2 linked regions of the Arabidopsis thaliana genome follow. The protein of the gene in region 1 interacts with the protein of each later gene in a pairwise test. Each region holds a gene or a part of one and is shown in the gene's direction. Other genes may lie near its edges.

Region 1 (7,779 bases):
CGTCACCGTCTCTCTACCGTCAACACCGTCACCGTCAACAACTAACGGCGATCCCTAAGGCCCACCACTGCCACGGACTTCCACAAAAAAAAAAGAACCCAAAGTCTGAATCATGTTTTCCTCTGTTTCAGAAACTGGTTTGAGATTTGCAACAGAAAACTCTGAGAATCAGACACCAAGAGAGTGTCAGACCAATAGCAAAGACTTTCCCACACAGCAATCCAACAAGAACAATCACTATCAAACCAATCACTTTCGTTAGATCCTCTTTTGGTCCAGTCTCTTCTTCTTCTTCAACCTCTGTACAACTCTCTAAAAATGGCGGATTCGAACTCAAATCATCCCTCTCAGAGATTTCACTCCCGATTCTCTCATCTGAATACAAGCTAGAAACTTCTGTCATAGACCCTTCTTCTTCAGTTTCAAGTTCAACTTCTTCTTCTTCTTTTTCTTTGTTCTTCATCTTCTTCTTCTTCTTATAACTCCTTAGCTTCTTTGGCACAATCTTCTTCACAATCTTTGATTTCAGCTTCGCGCTTTTGCTTTTCTCAGTCTTAAACATAACATCTCTTATCGTCTGCATTTCTTTCTTCTCATCCACCACAAGTTTCGCCTTCTCCAATGACGACGAATCCGATTGAGGAGTGACTCTAATCTCCTCTCTAGGTTCTTCGATGATTTCAAAGTAGACATTGTTTCTTCTGTCATGCGTCGATGTTGATTCTTCTTCTTCTTCTAGCTTCTCTTTATGTCGCTTCCCTATGAGCTTATCGATCAAAGAATCTATCCGAATCTGCGCGTCGGGACAGAGATTCAAGTACGTGAAGACACGCGCCACCGCAAGCTCGAGGAAGAGAAGGGCAAAAGCAGAGAGCGTGATCCCCACGGCGAGCTTCTTCGTGCTCAAGGCAAGCACAGCCACCATAAAAACCTTAAACACCACCACTATCAAAACACACCCTCCTCCTCCTCCACCGCGATGACCACCGTCGTCTTCATGGATAATCTCCGGAACAGAAGTTTCCTCGATCTTTCTCACCAAAGGAGAATCCTCTGTAACCAAAGCTGGATCAAGCTTGGAAGGAAGAGACATACGACGCTGCAAAGACATATGAGGAGGAGGTGGAGACAAAACACGCGTTTCAGTCTGGGCTTTGTTGTTCTTGTTGTTACGTTTTGAAGATTGTTTTTTGAGACGATCGCGATTCTTAACAAAGAGATCGATTAAAGAAGTTGGGAAACCAGTTTCAACAACGAGAGATCCACCATGTTTAGGAGATTGTTGAAAGTCTGATACGAATCTAGAGATCCGACTAGATTTAGATTTCTTCCAAGGTAAAGGCATGTTGAAGGAAAGAAAGAAAAAAGGATTTAGACTTTTAAAATCTTTTTTTTGGTGATAAATCACCTCTCCGAAGAACCCAGAAAAAAGGGTTTGTCGAAGAGATAGAGAAGAAGATCTGGTTGGAAGATCAAAACCATTAATTAGACATTTTGGAGAGACAAATGCAATAAATGGAGAAGAAACCTCTTCCTGCCCTCTTTGCGCAGAAAGTGAAATGAGAGAGAGAGAGATATGATGAGGAAACCGCTAAAAAGACATTGCAGGACGACGCGTGCCTTAACCAATTATTTTACTTCCTTTTTTTTGTTACAAAAAATTTGTTATTTATTTCCATTTTTGTTAAATTTGTACAACTGTACTATGCAGTTTTTAAGATTTTACACTTTCTGCTGTACCAAAATATTACCTATGTCCATCTGACCGAAATTATTAAATTAATTCTAATAAAAAAATTCTAATAAAGCTGATCAATTTATTTATTTTAGACTTAAACTTTACAAAAACTAATTTATTCAGCTTAATTTCCCCAATATGTAAAAACATTAATGACTACAAGTATGGTATAACAGTAGCTTCAAAATCTTAATTCATTTATACCGAAGCAAAAGTGAATTTGGTAAACCGGTGAAAAAAACAAACCATTCCGAAACAGATTTAAGATTTTTGTTCAATTATATTTTGTAAGCAAACAAATTACATCGAACTAAACTAAACTAAACAACCGAAATATGCATCCATATTATTTGTGAACTAAACATGGTAAACCGGTAATAGCTATTTTAAGATCCTTACATTTTTAAAATTTGTCTAAAGATAATTTGAACAATTTCATCTATTGTTAAACCTATCAACGAATTGTGTCTATAGTTAGATGCTAAAAAACCTTCCTGATAGATTTTTTTTTGTTTGAACCGTTGATTCATATAATAAACTTAGAAGCAAGACATATAGTAATATTTTTTCACTTGAAAATTGATATTTATGCAACAGATTAACTATTCTAAAATCGTCATATTTATGAGTTGTTATTTGCCTGTAAGCCATTTACTTCTAATTTCTATTGTCAGCTTATCTAATTAATTTGGTGATTTGCTAAATAAGTAAAATTGCCTATTATTGGTGTGAAAAACAACAAAGGAAAATCCACTAATGACGCAAATTCGAATCTTTTGGTCTTTAATTTCAATATCCGAAGAAAAAAGGATCTAATCAATAATATAAAAAAGCGTAGAAAACAATTTGCCTTTATATAACTTTCACGAGTGATTTTGTAAATATTTTATAATTAATTAACAAAAATATCTAAGGAAAGATATTTGTTTTTGATTCGCTGTATAACAGCACATAAAGGAAACCAAATCGAAAAACTATCAGGGTAATATCAAAAACCAATAGAAGTCTAAGGACGAAAATGCAAATTATTTGAGAAACTAGAGAAAAAAGGAGGTAAACTATATATAGCCGATTACTACTCTCATTTGTTTTTATACCCCTCAATCATAAACAATAAACAGAGGGAGTCGCCAAATTTTCTCATCATTTTCTCGAGAAAATAGACTAAAAGCGATTCCCGAGAGAAAGAAAGAACAAAAAAAAAACATCCGAGTGAAAATGAGAGAAATTCTTCATATTCAAGGAGGTCAGTGCGGAAACCAGATCGGAGCTAAGTTCTGGGAAGTTATTTGCGGCGAGCACGGTATTGATCAAACCGGTCAGTCATGTGGCGATACAGATCTACAGCTTGAAAGGATCAATGTCTATTTTAACGAAGCTAGCGGAGGCAAATACGTTCCTCGTGCTGTTCTTATGGATCTGGAGCCTGGAACTATGGATTCTCTCAGATCTGGGCCGTTTGGTCAGATTTTCCGGCCTGATAACTTCGTTTTTGGTCAGTCTGGTGCTGGGAATAACTGGGCGAAAGGTCATTACACGGAGGGAGCTGAGTTGATTGATTCTGTGCTTGATGTTGTGAGGAAGGAAGCTGAGAACTGTGATTGTCTTCAAGGTGAGAGAGATACGCTTTCATTTTCTAGGTTTTCGTTTTCTGAATCTCGTTTGTGTTTTGATTTGTTAGCGTTTCCTGTTCCTGTATGCATTCGAATTCAGATCTGCTATTAGAAACTCCTTCATAGATGCTTTGTTTAGCGTTTGATTTCATTCTCTGATTGATGATTCATTTGTGGAGCAGGTTTTCAAGTTTGTCATTCTTTGGGAGGAGGAACTGGTTCTGGAATGGGAACACTTCTTATTTCTAAGATTAGAGAGGAATATCCAGATCGTATGATGATGACCTTTTCGGTCTTCCCATCTCCTAAGGTCTCTGATACAGTTGTTGAGCCATACAATGCTACTCTTTCCGTTCACCAGCTCGTTGAGAATGCTGATGAATGTATGGTTTTGGATAACGAAGCTCTTTACGATATCTGTTTCCGTACCTTGAAGCTTGCTAATCCTACATGTGAGATTTACAAACCATTTATTCTCTTGTTTTCTAATATTCATGTGATTGTAGTTTTGAAAATCCTGACATTGTTCTTCTTTCTTATGTGGTGGTGTATCTTAGTTGGTGACCTTAACCATCTCATCTCAGCTACAATGAGTGGTGTTACATGCTGTCTTCGGTTCCCTGGTCAACTAAACTCTGACCTTAGAAAACTTGCTGTGAACCTTATTCCTTTCCCACGACTCCACTTCTTCATGGTTGGTTTTGCACCTTTGACATCAAGAGGATCTCAACAATACAGTGCCTTGAGTGTCCCTGAGCTAACTCAACAGATGTGGGATGCCAAAAACATGATGTGTGCAGCTGATCCTCGTCATGGTCGTTACTTGACAGCTTCTGCTGTCTTCCGTGGAAAGATGAGTACCAAAGAGGTTGATGAACAGATGATGAACGTCCAGAACAAAAACTCCTCATACTTTGTTGAATGGATTCCAAATAACGTGAAATCAAGCGTCTGCGATATAGCTCCCACTGGTTTGAAAATGGCATCAACTTTCATTGGAAACTCAACTTCAATCCAGGAAATGTTCAGGCGTGTGAGTGAACAGTTCACTGCCATGTTCAGGAGAAAGGCTTTCCTTCATTGGTACACAGGAGAAGGAATGGACGAGATGGAGTTCACTGAAGCAGAGAGTAACATGAATGATCTTGTTGCAGAGTATCAGCAATATCAAGATGCTACAGTCGGTGAAGAGGAGTACGAGGAGGACGAAGAAGAAGAAGAAGCCTAAAGAAAAGATGATTGATTATTACTTTTGTAAGGCTGTAAGTTCGTCGCACTCATTTCCTTTTACCTCTTTTTCTGAATTGGGATTCTCTCTTTTTGTGCTTTGTGTGTTTTGTTATTGAATTTCTTTCCCAAACCTAAGATTTGTTCCAGAGTGTAATCACATTTGCCTATGCTTCTTTGTTTTGTCTATGAAAATATTTCAATGTCAAAAGCCTATACAATTTCTATGATCCAAAAAACTTGATAACCGGTACAAATAGATCCTACATCTCTGCGGTTTTAAGCTCTCCCTGCAATCTTTCTTCTTCTTCTTCTTCTGCTTCTTCCTCTTCTGCGATATCTGCCCAGCTTTTCTTTGATTCACTCTTCGGACCATCTGCTGTATCTTTGACGAATTCATGGAGATATTGAATCATGTTCTGGTCCAGTTTCTTTCGCTTCATGGGTTCTTCTTCTCCTCTCTCTAAGATCTTCATCTGTTCAGAGCCAAAAGGTTGTGGTTTTCCAAATAGTAGCTTTCGAGCAGCACCTCTCGTCTCTTCTTCAAACAATCTGCATCTGCGTGGTTGTGTATATAGACCTGCAGAGTTCGGTCTCACAGATGCTGGAGACGAAGAAACATCTGAGTAGTTCTTGTTTGCGGTTCCAGGAGCTATATTTTCCTTCATCCTATTCACAAATGAACATCCCGCGTAGAACTTCTCCGAAAGATCAGCTTCTGGCTTTTTCGATTCTATTTCTGCTAACATTTCGACGGCTCGGTCATAAGACTTTGCGAATGGTTCATCTCCGCATTCACTCTCTGCAGGAGAATCTCTTACATCATCAAGCAGAGATTTAGCTTCAGGAATTCGACTCATACGCATCAAGCAGATTGCAAGGTTACAGAGTTTGTTTTTGTCTCGCTCCAAACCCAAAGCTCTCCTGTTCATAATCAGTTGAATATAAGCAAAACTCACATGACCAGACAGTAATCAATATTTGGGATTTTGGTAACAAAACCAAACCTGTAATGCTGCTCTGCAATTCCATAGTTATGTAACTGTAAATGAACCCAGCCCAAGTTCCCTAGTATCCTAAAATGTTCAAACAACAATGGAAACGTCAATTCAAGAGACAAAACACTCATCAAGCTAACATGAGAATACACCGAAACTTTCTCACCTTGCTTTCTCTTGCTCGATAGTCATAATAACATGTTTTCCTTGAACCCTTTTTGCTCTACTGACTCTACCACCAAATCCCATTCCTTGTTCGAGTGTTTGCAGTTTGTGCTCAAGTAAAACAGCTTCTTCTTCAATTCTCCCTGACTTCTGCAAAAACACCAAAACCCATTTCCAAGTTATAACAACTCCATAACACTTGCTGCATTAACAAAGAAGGAGGCTGCATTACCTTGTAGAGCTCGAGTAGCAAGTTATCAATCGAGTCTTGAGACTCGAAAGAACAGAGATACCGAAAGGATTTAATAGCTTCAATCCCTTCATCAGATCGACCTAATTGTTTCATTACAACGGCCATATCCTTCAAAGCACTATCAACTCGATCTCCAGCGTTTATTGCAGTCCAAAACAATGATATAGCTCTGTTCGGATCTTTATCTATCAACTGTTCTTCCACATAAACAATATCCATTTGTTAGAAAACCTCAATCATAGACAGGTTCAAGAAGATCACTCAAAATTTGAAAAGCTTTTAAGAGATTTTATCACATGAGGAAGAATCTAGAATTCCTAAATTAGGTCAAAAGAAAAATTCCCCTGTCTTGTTTTCGCGGGAAAATTGATTATACCTGCGCGTGTTTGGCTCTGACGTAAGGAGAATCACCAGAAGGAACTTTATGAACAATGTGAAACGGATCACGTCTCTCCGACGACGAAGAACAAGAATACGGTGGTCTCCTCCTCTCCGTCATCGGCATCGCCGCCACATGATCACTTGTTCTCGCCGGCGGCGGAGTATAGTAAACTCCAGGTGGAGCACGACGCTCTACGCAGGGACACATTTTCTTTTTCGATTCTCTCTGTCAATTTACTCAGATAAAGTTCGAGAAAGCTTTTCCCAGAATTCAAATTCTCGTGTTCTTCAGAAATCGCCCTCGTGAAAAAGATCAAGAACGCAAATGCTTTGAAAACGAATCAGTGTCGTTGAAGAAGTGAGAAAGTGATAAAAATCACAAGGACTTGTATTTAAATAAACAAACTTTAACGTAGGGGCAAAAAGGGTAATCTACTGATCTAATCTTTAAACTTCAACGGACCAGTAGACTTGGAGACAAAAGGATCTTGTAAACATAAAGGTTCGATTTTATGGTTAATCTGCAAAAGCTCATGGCAAAAGAACTAAACGAGCTTTGAGTTTTATAGATGAACACGTCATCACATTGCTTGCAATATATATATTCTCTGGTAGATACTACTCTAGTCAAAGATCAGTCTTTTTCTTTTCTACATCTTCTTTCTTCCACTCCCAGATGACTTTATAAGGCTGCATTGAGCTTTCTGCAACATTCTCAACAGATGAAGCTTCCCGTCTAAAAATAGCTATCTGAGAAGCAAATCCGGGTTCTACTTCACCAGACCCACCAACACCGCTAAACTCGACGCTGTAGTTATGGCGTTTGCCGAGCTTTGATGCCCATTGATTGAACTGTTCTCTTGTCCACTCGAATTTGTGGTCATGGTTCCTGAACTTTGGAAGCTGTGGCTCCGAGTTGTTTTCTTCTTGGGTTTCTGGTGTAGACCGCTGGAGAATTGTGTTGAACTCGTAGTTTGGTGTTGAGACAATCAGGAGCTTGGGGTGGAACAAGCTCAGAACTTTTTCCCCAAATTCACAGGCTTGATCTTCTTCCATGTGTTCAATAACCTACAGATTAGGAACAGATTATAGATTTAACGCCGAAACCAGACAGATTGCTTTTGATAAACGTGTACAAAATTTGAAGGATTAGAGAGCAGATGAGAGGTGGACCTCTAAGCAAGTGCCGATGTCAACGTCATGCAGCCTGGAGTCAAACTCAAGGATGGAACCATCATAAAGTGTAGCAGATTTGACGTTGCAAGCTTCCTTGTTTAGTTTTACATGTAGCATCTAAAGTTGAAACACAAGATACACAAAAGCATAAGTAAATCTACCATTTCTTTTCAATTACACAAAATGCAGAGAATCATGAGTGGTGCAAATACATTCTTCATCAAACAT
Region 2 (8,260 bases), on another chromosome or scaffold:
TAATCATCATCGTTCACACTAACTGCAATGGCAAAATAAGAGAACAAAGAGATCAAGAAGCTGATAAAATTTCAATGTTAAAACAGATTTTGTAGCGAAGTTGTCTTACAAGAGGAACTTCTATGTTTGGCGTTGCTCATCTTATGGTTCTTGCTTGAATTGAGGAAACAGAGACAAGAACAGATTGGCTTCTTGGAATGATGATGTTGATGTCTAGGTTTGACATTGCCATGACGGGCACGAAGAGGTCTAATAAAGACAGGTCTTTTAACTCGGAAGCGGAAGAGAGAGACAAATCTGTTGCATGATTTCGAAAGCTTTGATTTGAAGTTAATCAAAGTTGCTTTCACTCTCATTGTCTTGAAGCTTTTTTGGTGATGATGTTGTTGTTGTGATCCTCTTTGGCTTCTTGTTTTGTTTTGGTGTGTATAAGGTTAGAGGATTGGCTTGTGTTGCGTGGAGTTCACGTCTTTGGGTGTGAAACTGATCATGATGGTGGAGTCCCATGAAGTTTTTAAAAACAATGGAGAATAGAAAAGGTTTTCTTATTGCAAATGTTTGGTGGCTCTTGCTTATAAACAAAATCCAATATGATGAGATAGTTTTGTTTTTGTATACTCAAAAAGTCGTTGATATATTGGTAGGTCAACATTGTTGAACATAAACCAGTCCCACGTCTAGTGAAAATATCTCCATTTTTTAAATATGAATAATCACTTGTGCTTATTTAAAGTAAGGATGGAAAATGTTTTATTTTGATTTTTGAATATCATTTTTTTCCTTCTCGAAGTTAAAAGATAAGTAGTTGCCAAAACATTTGATCTGGAAAGTGGAAATGTATAGAAGAAGAAAAAAAGTGTCCTCAAAATGTTCGGCGTTAGTGGACAAAGTAGACCAAAAAATTTCTCATATTCATTATTATGACTCAAAAGTTGATCCCACTTTATTCAGAGGAGAAAATGGAACATATTTGATTATCTTAATTTCATCATTTGTGTATCTGTATCACCTTAATATAACATAAAGTGCTACTATACTAAATTATTTCTACCTAAAAACTTAAGATAAGGTTCACACTTTACCAAATTCAAAGAAGCATCGAAATGAAACTATTGAACTTCATTATAACGTGTACTTTGAGTCTTTAACCTAGATAGATTCACATATGTTAAACTTTTAGTTGAATTGTGAAAACTTTGTTTTTATTTATTAAATTGATTTGTCCGTTTAGAAACGTTTTAATATTTTCAATCAAAAAGCATACTTCGAGGAAAAGAAGCTGTATTTTTCTTTTGTAATTGCCATTTGGTCAACCTTTTTGTGTATTCTTTAAAACTGTTTACATTTGCTACTGTTTTATAATTCGCTAATTACATTTTTCAGTTATTTTATCATTTCGATGAAGAGTAAAATCTCCATGAAATGATGATAGAAATCTGTCAGAAATCAGAAGCAACTGATTCTCTGTTTTATAATTATTTTTGTACTATTCCCTTAATTATATAATATTTTAGATAAAAGTTATGTTCTTATGATTTTCAGTTTTTCACCAAATACAATTTCAATTAGTCAACCAATTTTAAAAATTCACCATAAAATAAATTTATTAATTATGTGAGCACAAGCGTGTAAATGTGATGTCTCAAGTTGATGTTGATGATGAATGATGATGATACTAATAAAAGACATTCTTTAAGCTTTTTCTAGTAGTAGCCCCACTAGTTTCCAATTTTAATCTTCAGTTTCTTCTTTATCTGTCACATAGAGAACTTTGCTTTCTCACCTTCTTCTTTATCTAAGGAAACAAAAACAGAGTTTTCTTAAGAGAAATATCACAAACTTTTGTGAAAAAGAGAGAGACAAGATGGGGAATTACAAGTTCAGAATTTCAGAGATGCTCCCAAATGCATGGTTCCACAAGCTCAAAGACGTGACTAAACACTCTAAACCCAAAAACAAAGCTTCTTCTTCTTCCTCAAACACTTGTAGCAAGAAGAAACCTTCCTCAGATTCTCTTCCTCAACACTCTTATTTCTCCAACAGCTTAGTAGCTAACAATCCTCCTCACCATAACTCACCAAGAAACTCTCTTCACACAAAAAAGATGAGTAAAAGAAAGACACTTTACAAGCCATCCCTTAAACCTTTGACTCCTCCTCCTCTTCTTGTATCTGCAAGTTTCAACAAGAGCAAGATCAACGATCAAGATTCGTCTTACAGCTTGTTCCCGGCTATTGAAACCTCCCCTGAGTCTTTTGTGTATAGTTTCTACGAAGAGGATGATGATGATGAGTTCGTTGAATTTTCCAACTTCAAGATCAACACAAAGAACAAAGCTTTCACCAAGCAGAAGGTCAAAGTGATTGATTCGGTAGAGAAAGCTTGTACTGCAAGCAAGCCGATTAAGAAACCGCAGAAAAGCCATCTTTCTGTGAAAATTTCAAGAGATGAAGATGATAATGAATATAAAGCCGAGAAGAAGTACCAAAGGCAAGTTTCTAGTGGAAGAAAACCATCTGCTGGGATAAACCTCAAAAGAGTGAATTCACCTAGAATTCAACTCTCAGGTACTCGTAGAAGCACTTCTAGAAGATCAGAGAGCAAACAAGATGTTCTAGAGAGCTTCGCTGTGATGAAGCGGTCCGTTGATCCAAAGAAAGATTTCAGGGAATCAATGATTGAGATGATAGAAGAGAACAACATCAGAGCTTCGAAAGACTTGGAAGACCTTCTTGCTTGCTACCTTACTTTGAATCCAAAGGAGTATCATGATCTTATCATCCATGTTTTCGAACAAATCTGGCTTCAACTTACAAAAACAAAGTAAAGAAAAAAATAATTCTTAATGTAATAGTAGTTAACCTAATGGTGAAAGTAATTAGTATCATTCTGCTTGTGAAATTGTAGTTGTTGACTTGTTGTTGATGTTCATAAGAAGTTAGATGGAACTGTGGAGATTCTCTCTTTGAATCCCACTTTTTATGTATTGTTTTCTTTATTTATCTTTTTGGAAAATGTAAGCAAATAATAAAAGTTGTTATCATATTGTCGTTTTAATACAAACATGATCACTAAGGGCGTGAAAACACTGTTAATTAAGACAGATTTTTTTATCACTAATTAAACATATTCTTGTCTTCTCTATGATTATGAACATATAAAACTACTCACAAAAGATGATGCTTCAAGATTTGATTATTTCTTAGAATATGAAGATGGATTAATTGCGCCAATATCATTTGAATATTTTGAAAATACAAAGTTGAAAATGGCGGTAAACAGCAACAAGAAAAAGACAACAGTGAAGAGACATGAACAATTTGAAAACGCAACAAGTACGGAGTTTATATATATGCATGAAGAACATTGGATAATCGTTGAAGGTAGAGAGAGGACCACTGACACATAAAACTGAGATGTGATTAAAGAAGAAAGAAACAGTGATGAGATTTAATCCTTAAGGGTTTTTTTTTTTCTGTGAAGAAGGGAAGAATGAACTCATGAAGAAGAAGAAGAGGACCACTGTTGCAAATTCCATCCCCTACCACAGTTGGCTTATGAAGTTTCAGCAAAAGACATGTGATATGGTATGGTTTCTGACTTCTGAGTGAACATAAGCAACAAATATTCAAATCAATGGGCCTAAATGATCTTGCAGTTTTGGATTATAAAGTTAAGAATTAAAAAGAATAGGTGATATATGTATCATAATTTTAAGTTTTAAACAAGTATGTCAGACAAAATTCTACATTCTAATTTTATACATAGATATGAGATAACCTCATAACCATAAACTACACCAAATTTTCATGAACAAAATATGATTCACACGAACTTTTTTCTATCTTGATCACCTAGCTAACTTGACAAATTAGTTGTTCGTCTAAAACTACACAAACATTCAAAGTTCGTTTTAAATTCAATATATTTAAAAATAACAGTTAAAGTTTTATTAAATGGCATTCCAAATATTGATTCCTTCTAGAAAATTTGTGTGGTTTTAAATTGTGAAATTTGGATCTAGAAAAAATAGCAAGTGTGGTTTCTTGTGACCTATGGTTGTTAGTGTAGTTGTATACCATTTTTTAAAGTTACATTGTAATTTGTAAACCATTTTTGTGTGGTTGACAAAAAAAAAACCTATGACAAAATTGCTCCGTTTTTATTTTCAATAACAAATTATAATGTAAATTAATATGTATCATAGTGTTTTTAATAAAAATATTTAAAATTAGGATTGATTGTTCTGAAAAAAATAACGCAACTAATACTTTGTTAGCAAATACTAACGTTTACGTACCAAAAAAGCATTATGTAAATCCATTCATCCATCATTGTATACTTGACTTTCTACATTATTCTTTTGTTGTATCAAATTTAAAATTAATGAATGAACTTGACATAATAAAACACAAAATATATACTTAAATTGTACGATATAAAAGTTTGATTTACATATTTTATATCTATAAAAAAGGGTAAATAAATGAAATAAAACTTTTTTTTTTTTTTTTGTCAAAGAAATGAAATAAAACTCAAATTACATTTTTATGTCGTAATGCGAGCACACAAGTGAGTGCATATCCAGTATTAAGTTTTTTTTTTAATAATTCAGAATTGAAAGCAAAGGAAAAAGAAGAAATCGAAATCGGAAACTGTATATTGTTGTTCTTCGATTCCTCCTCGCTCTACGCCGCGTCCTCTCTCTCAAATTCATCGGAAGCAACCTTCTTCTCCCATCATCGCCTGGTTCGTTTCTAAACCCTACTTCTTCTATTTCACAGTATATCTTCCTTTAATTTTCAATCGAATCTAGCTTTGTGTCGATCTCAATGTAGATCGGAATCAAGTAAAAGAAATCGATGAATTCCAAAATGTTCCCGATCTATTGCAATGCACGAATCGTAGAATTATCACCTACATTAGTCTTGATCTAATCGCCCTATTTCAATTTCAAATTCGACATCGAAGTTTAAAGGAGATCGCAAAACCTAGTTATAGAATCGTTGCGTTTGAGTTGTTTCGCTGGTGATGTAGAAACCCTAATTTTGGTTGTCCTGTGTTTGGTACTTGCTCAGAATCCAATGGCAACGATAAGGAACTTGAAGATAAAAACATCAACATGTAAAAGGATTGTGAAAGAGCTTCACTCTTATGAGAAAGAAGTTGAGAGAGAAGCGGCTAAGACTGCTGATATGAAGGACAAAGGTGCTGATCCCTACGACCTTAAACAACAGGTACAGATTTCATTGTTTATCTCTCTGTATTCGAAGATTCGGAGCCCGTCTTTGTTCGTCAGAATCTAGAAATGCTGTGTTGTGCTGTGTTTAGACTTGGTTTTTCCTAATCTGTGTATGTGGTGATGCAGGAAAATGTGTTGGGTGAGTCTAGGATGATGATTCCGGATTGCCACAAACGTCTCGAGTCTGCATTGGCTGACCTCAAGTCCACTTTGGTAAACTACATTTTCCATTGTTATTGCTTGCTAAGCGTCGGTCTAGCTTTATGTATTAGTTTATAAGAAACGCTGAGCGGTGATTTGAAGTTTAAGAGCAGTAGTACATTATCAAACTATAACTTTTATATGTATCTATAGCGATTGGATTAATCCCCTGCATGAAACCATCTTAGTCTCTCTTTGAGGAAAAATGATGAATAAGGACACAGAGGAAACTGTGAATTCGTACTCTGTCTTTTGTCTCTAATGAAAACTGAATTTGCAGGCGGAATTGGAAGAGACGGATGAGAAGGAAGGTCCAGAGATCGAAGATGCAAAGAAGACAGTCGCGGATGTGGAGAAGCAGTTTCCCACTGAAGATGCCTGATTTAGCCAGCGATGAGTGTTAAATCTGTATTCTGAGAATGGTTAATCATCTGTAAGAATCTTTATATCTAAGGTTGCTTGTCGACTGTATACACTAAAAATATCTTTCTTTAACATTTTGGTGATTGTTCTTTCATTCAATATCTTTGAAATGGCACACTTGCTATAATGTGTTGTAAGCTGCAACTTAACGATTGATAATTGATATAACTTTGACAACCATGATTGTAAACTAAGTGAAGATTAAGAGCACGGATTTAGAAAAGGTGATCTTATTCTAATTTGTTTTGCGAAGAGATTCAACAATTTCTGAACCATTTATATGATGAGAAGACATTCAAGATTTGTTCTACTTTTATGATTGAAAGCTTTTATTTTGATTTCTTTACAATTTTAGATTTTCTTGGAGATTAAGAGGAGAAGTAGAAAAAAAGGGAGAATTATTAAGACGTCGTCGTTTGTGAGAAAAATAGTCAGAGTTTCTCATAATCCAGTATCTCTCAATCTCATTTGCCTTTCTTCCTACGACTCTTCCTGCTATTAAATCCCACCTGACAATCAATATTCAAGCATATAATGTGTTTTTGAATTATAGACGAGCACAAAATTCTGAAAAAACATTTATCAAAATTCAGGAGTCAACATATATAATGCAGAAATGAAATTTAAAATGTATATATATAAAGACAATAATATTCAAGAGCCAATATATTATTCAATCCTTTCACTGTTTTTAAAATCATCACACTTTAAGAAAAGAAGAAATTTTAGTTTCTGTTAATTATACATTTTATCAGTTTATCAACAACATAAAACTTTTTTTGAAATTATACAAGTAAAATACTCATGTCATTGCTTAAATATTGGCATGTCATTTTTCTCGAAACACGTTCGAAAGTCTAAACTACTCTAGAATCATGTTTACCATAACATAACACTTTATCAGCTTTGATTTGTTACTCTCGCCATGTGAATTTTTTTTAAATTATAAAATACTAGTTTTTTTTTTTTTTTTTTTAATTTTATAAAATACTAGTTGTTTTTAAAATATGTTGAATCGGACATGACAGAAGAAGAGAATTTGTTACCTATTACCGACAAGTCTGTACATTCGAGAGATGAGATCTTCTTCTTGTTCGGTCATACTGATAAACTCCCATTCGATGCTACTCACTTCTGCATTTTTGTTTCGTTTTATCCAAACAAAAATTAAATGAGAAGATAATTTAACGCTGACGAGTTAGGAGGATGAGTGTAGAGTAATGAATTGAAGAGAGACCTTCAGAGTCATATCGGGATCGAGTGAACTTAGTTTGCCTAAGACTGGGACCGCGACGAAGACGAAGACGGTTGGTATTATCCATAACTACTGGAAAATAGAAGAATATTAGATAAATTTACAGAGAAACTGAAAATGTAGAGTTTGGAGAATGCAAGATATAGAAAAGATGTGAGGGAAAAAAATAGTTATATAAAAAGAGAGAGAGAGAGATAGGTGATTTATTTTTTATTGGAATTTCTACGTATATATTCCTAAATTTATAATTCACATTTTTGTTTTTATATATCCCGATCGAATACGTCAAAACATAATTTCGTGATACGTTCGATTTGTTTTTTACTATTCCAAAAAGTTCATAATGCTCACAATAAATTTTGATCAGATTTTGTTTCTGACCTATAACAGAACATTTTAACAGTCACTAAAATGGCGTGCTAGTTTTATTTTTTTGCCTAGTAACGTATTAAAATCGAGTGAAAAACATCACATGCAAATACACTTCTCAATAAATATTATGAACACGTAATCCTACAAGTTCTAATTTAAAATCACAGTTTTTCTTTTTATATTTTAGAAATTTTTACGGACGGAGATGGCTGTGGAATGTGGATGTACATAATCTATAATTTTATTTTACAGTTCTCCAATAACATTAGGTGAAATTTTTTCCCCGAAATTTTCGACTTCGTGAAAATTGGACAAAAAAAGTCCATAAACCGTTAATTTCGTGTTGTGATATAGATTTGTGGGTCGTAAATAATACTAGCAAAATCCAACAAAACTTTTGTTTTCTTGTGCTTTTTTCTCTTTAGATTTTTTTGTGTGTGTCTAATTTTACATATGCATGCCCTACAGATAATTCCTATTTATGCATCTACAGAACTCAATTATCGTCTCAGTGATAATAAATGCAGTAACTGTAAGAAACGGACGTATCAATTTCTTTTCCTGACAGATTGAAAGTTGTCTTAGAGAAATCGGTACTTATATAATGAGCATATCATTTTCTCAGCGTGAAATCAGAATGAACCATTTATGATTTTACCCACTATATATTAAAGAAGTAGGTTAGGAGAAAATTGATCCTACGTGGTACGTATTAGCTAAGACCAATTCAAAAATATGAAATTCCTCTAATTTATCATTATGTGATC

Evidence for each region. The genes of interacting proteins can lie anywhere in the genome.
Region 2: the proteins of TUB9 (region 1) and KIS interact in binary tests that used the Arabidopsis thaliana proteins (3 or more experiments, as listed by UniProt).

Annotation. Positions count from the first base shown.
Region 1 is NC_003075.7:11,179,262-11,187,040, forward strand, and holds TUB9 (tubulin beta-9 chain), read left to right. Parts: upstream 1-2,830; 5' UTR 2,831-2,956; coding exon 2,957-3,350; intron 3,351-3,533; coding exon 3,534-3,803; intron 3,804-3,908; coding exon 3,909-4,579; 3' UTR 4,580-4,841; downstream 4,842-7,779. Other genes in the region: AT4G20880 (ethylene-responsive nuclear protein / ethylene-regulated nuclear protein (ERT2)), read right to left, coding at 128-1,345; MS5 (Tetratricopeptide repeat (TPR)-like superfamily protein), read right to left, coding at 4,842-5,502, 5,538-5,654, 5,743-5,891, 5,974-6,186, 6,371-6,583; HEN1 (double-stranded RNA binding protein-related / DsRBD protein-like protein), read right to left, coding at 7,003-7,443, 7,549-7,668. UniProt on the Arabidopsis thaliana protein: Tubulin is the major constituent of microtubules, a cylinder consisting of laterally associated linear protofilaments composed of alpha- and beta-tubulin heterodimers.
Region 2 is NC_003071.7:12,954,728-12,962,987, forward strand, and holds KIS (tubulin folding cofactor A (KIESEL)), read left to right. Parts: upstream 1-3,388; 5' UTR 3,389-3,587; exon of another isoform or gene 3,588-3,608; intron 3,609-4,471; exon of another isoform or gene 4,472-4,514; intron 4,515-4,561; exon of another isoform or gene 4,562-4,615; 5' UTR 4,616-4,749; intron 4,750-5,078; 5' UTR 5,079-5,084; coding exon 5,085-5,237; intron 5,238-5,368; coding exon 5,369-5,455; intron 5,456-5,723; coding exon 5,724-5,825; 3' UTR 5,826-6,041; downstream 6,042-8,260. Other genes in the region: OFP17 (ovate family protein 17), read right to left, coding at 1-22, 110-356; OFP2 (ovate family protein 2), read left to right, coding at 1,865-2,827; ETC2 (Homeodomain-like superfamily protein), read right to left, coding at 6,210-6,375, 6,913-7,000, 7,104-7,188. UniProt on the Arabidopsis thaliana protein: Tubulin-folding protein involved in the control of the alpha-/beta-tubulin monomer balance. Functions as a reservoir of bound and non-toxic beta-tubulin. Required in the developing embryo.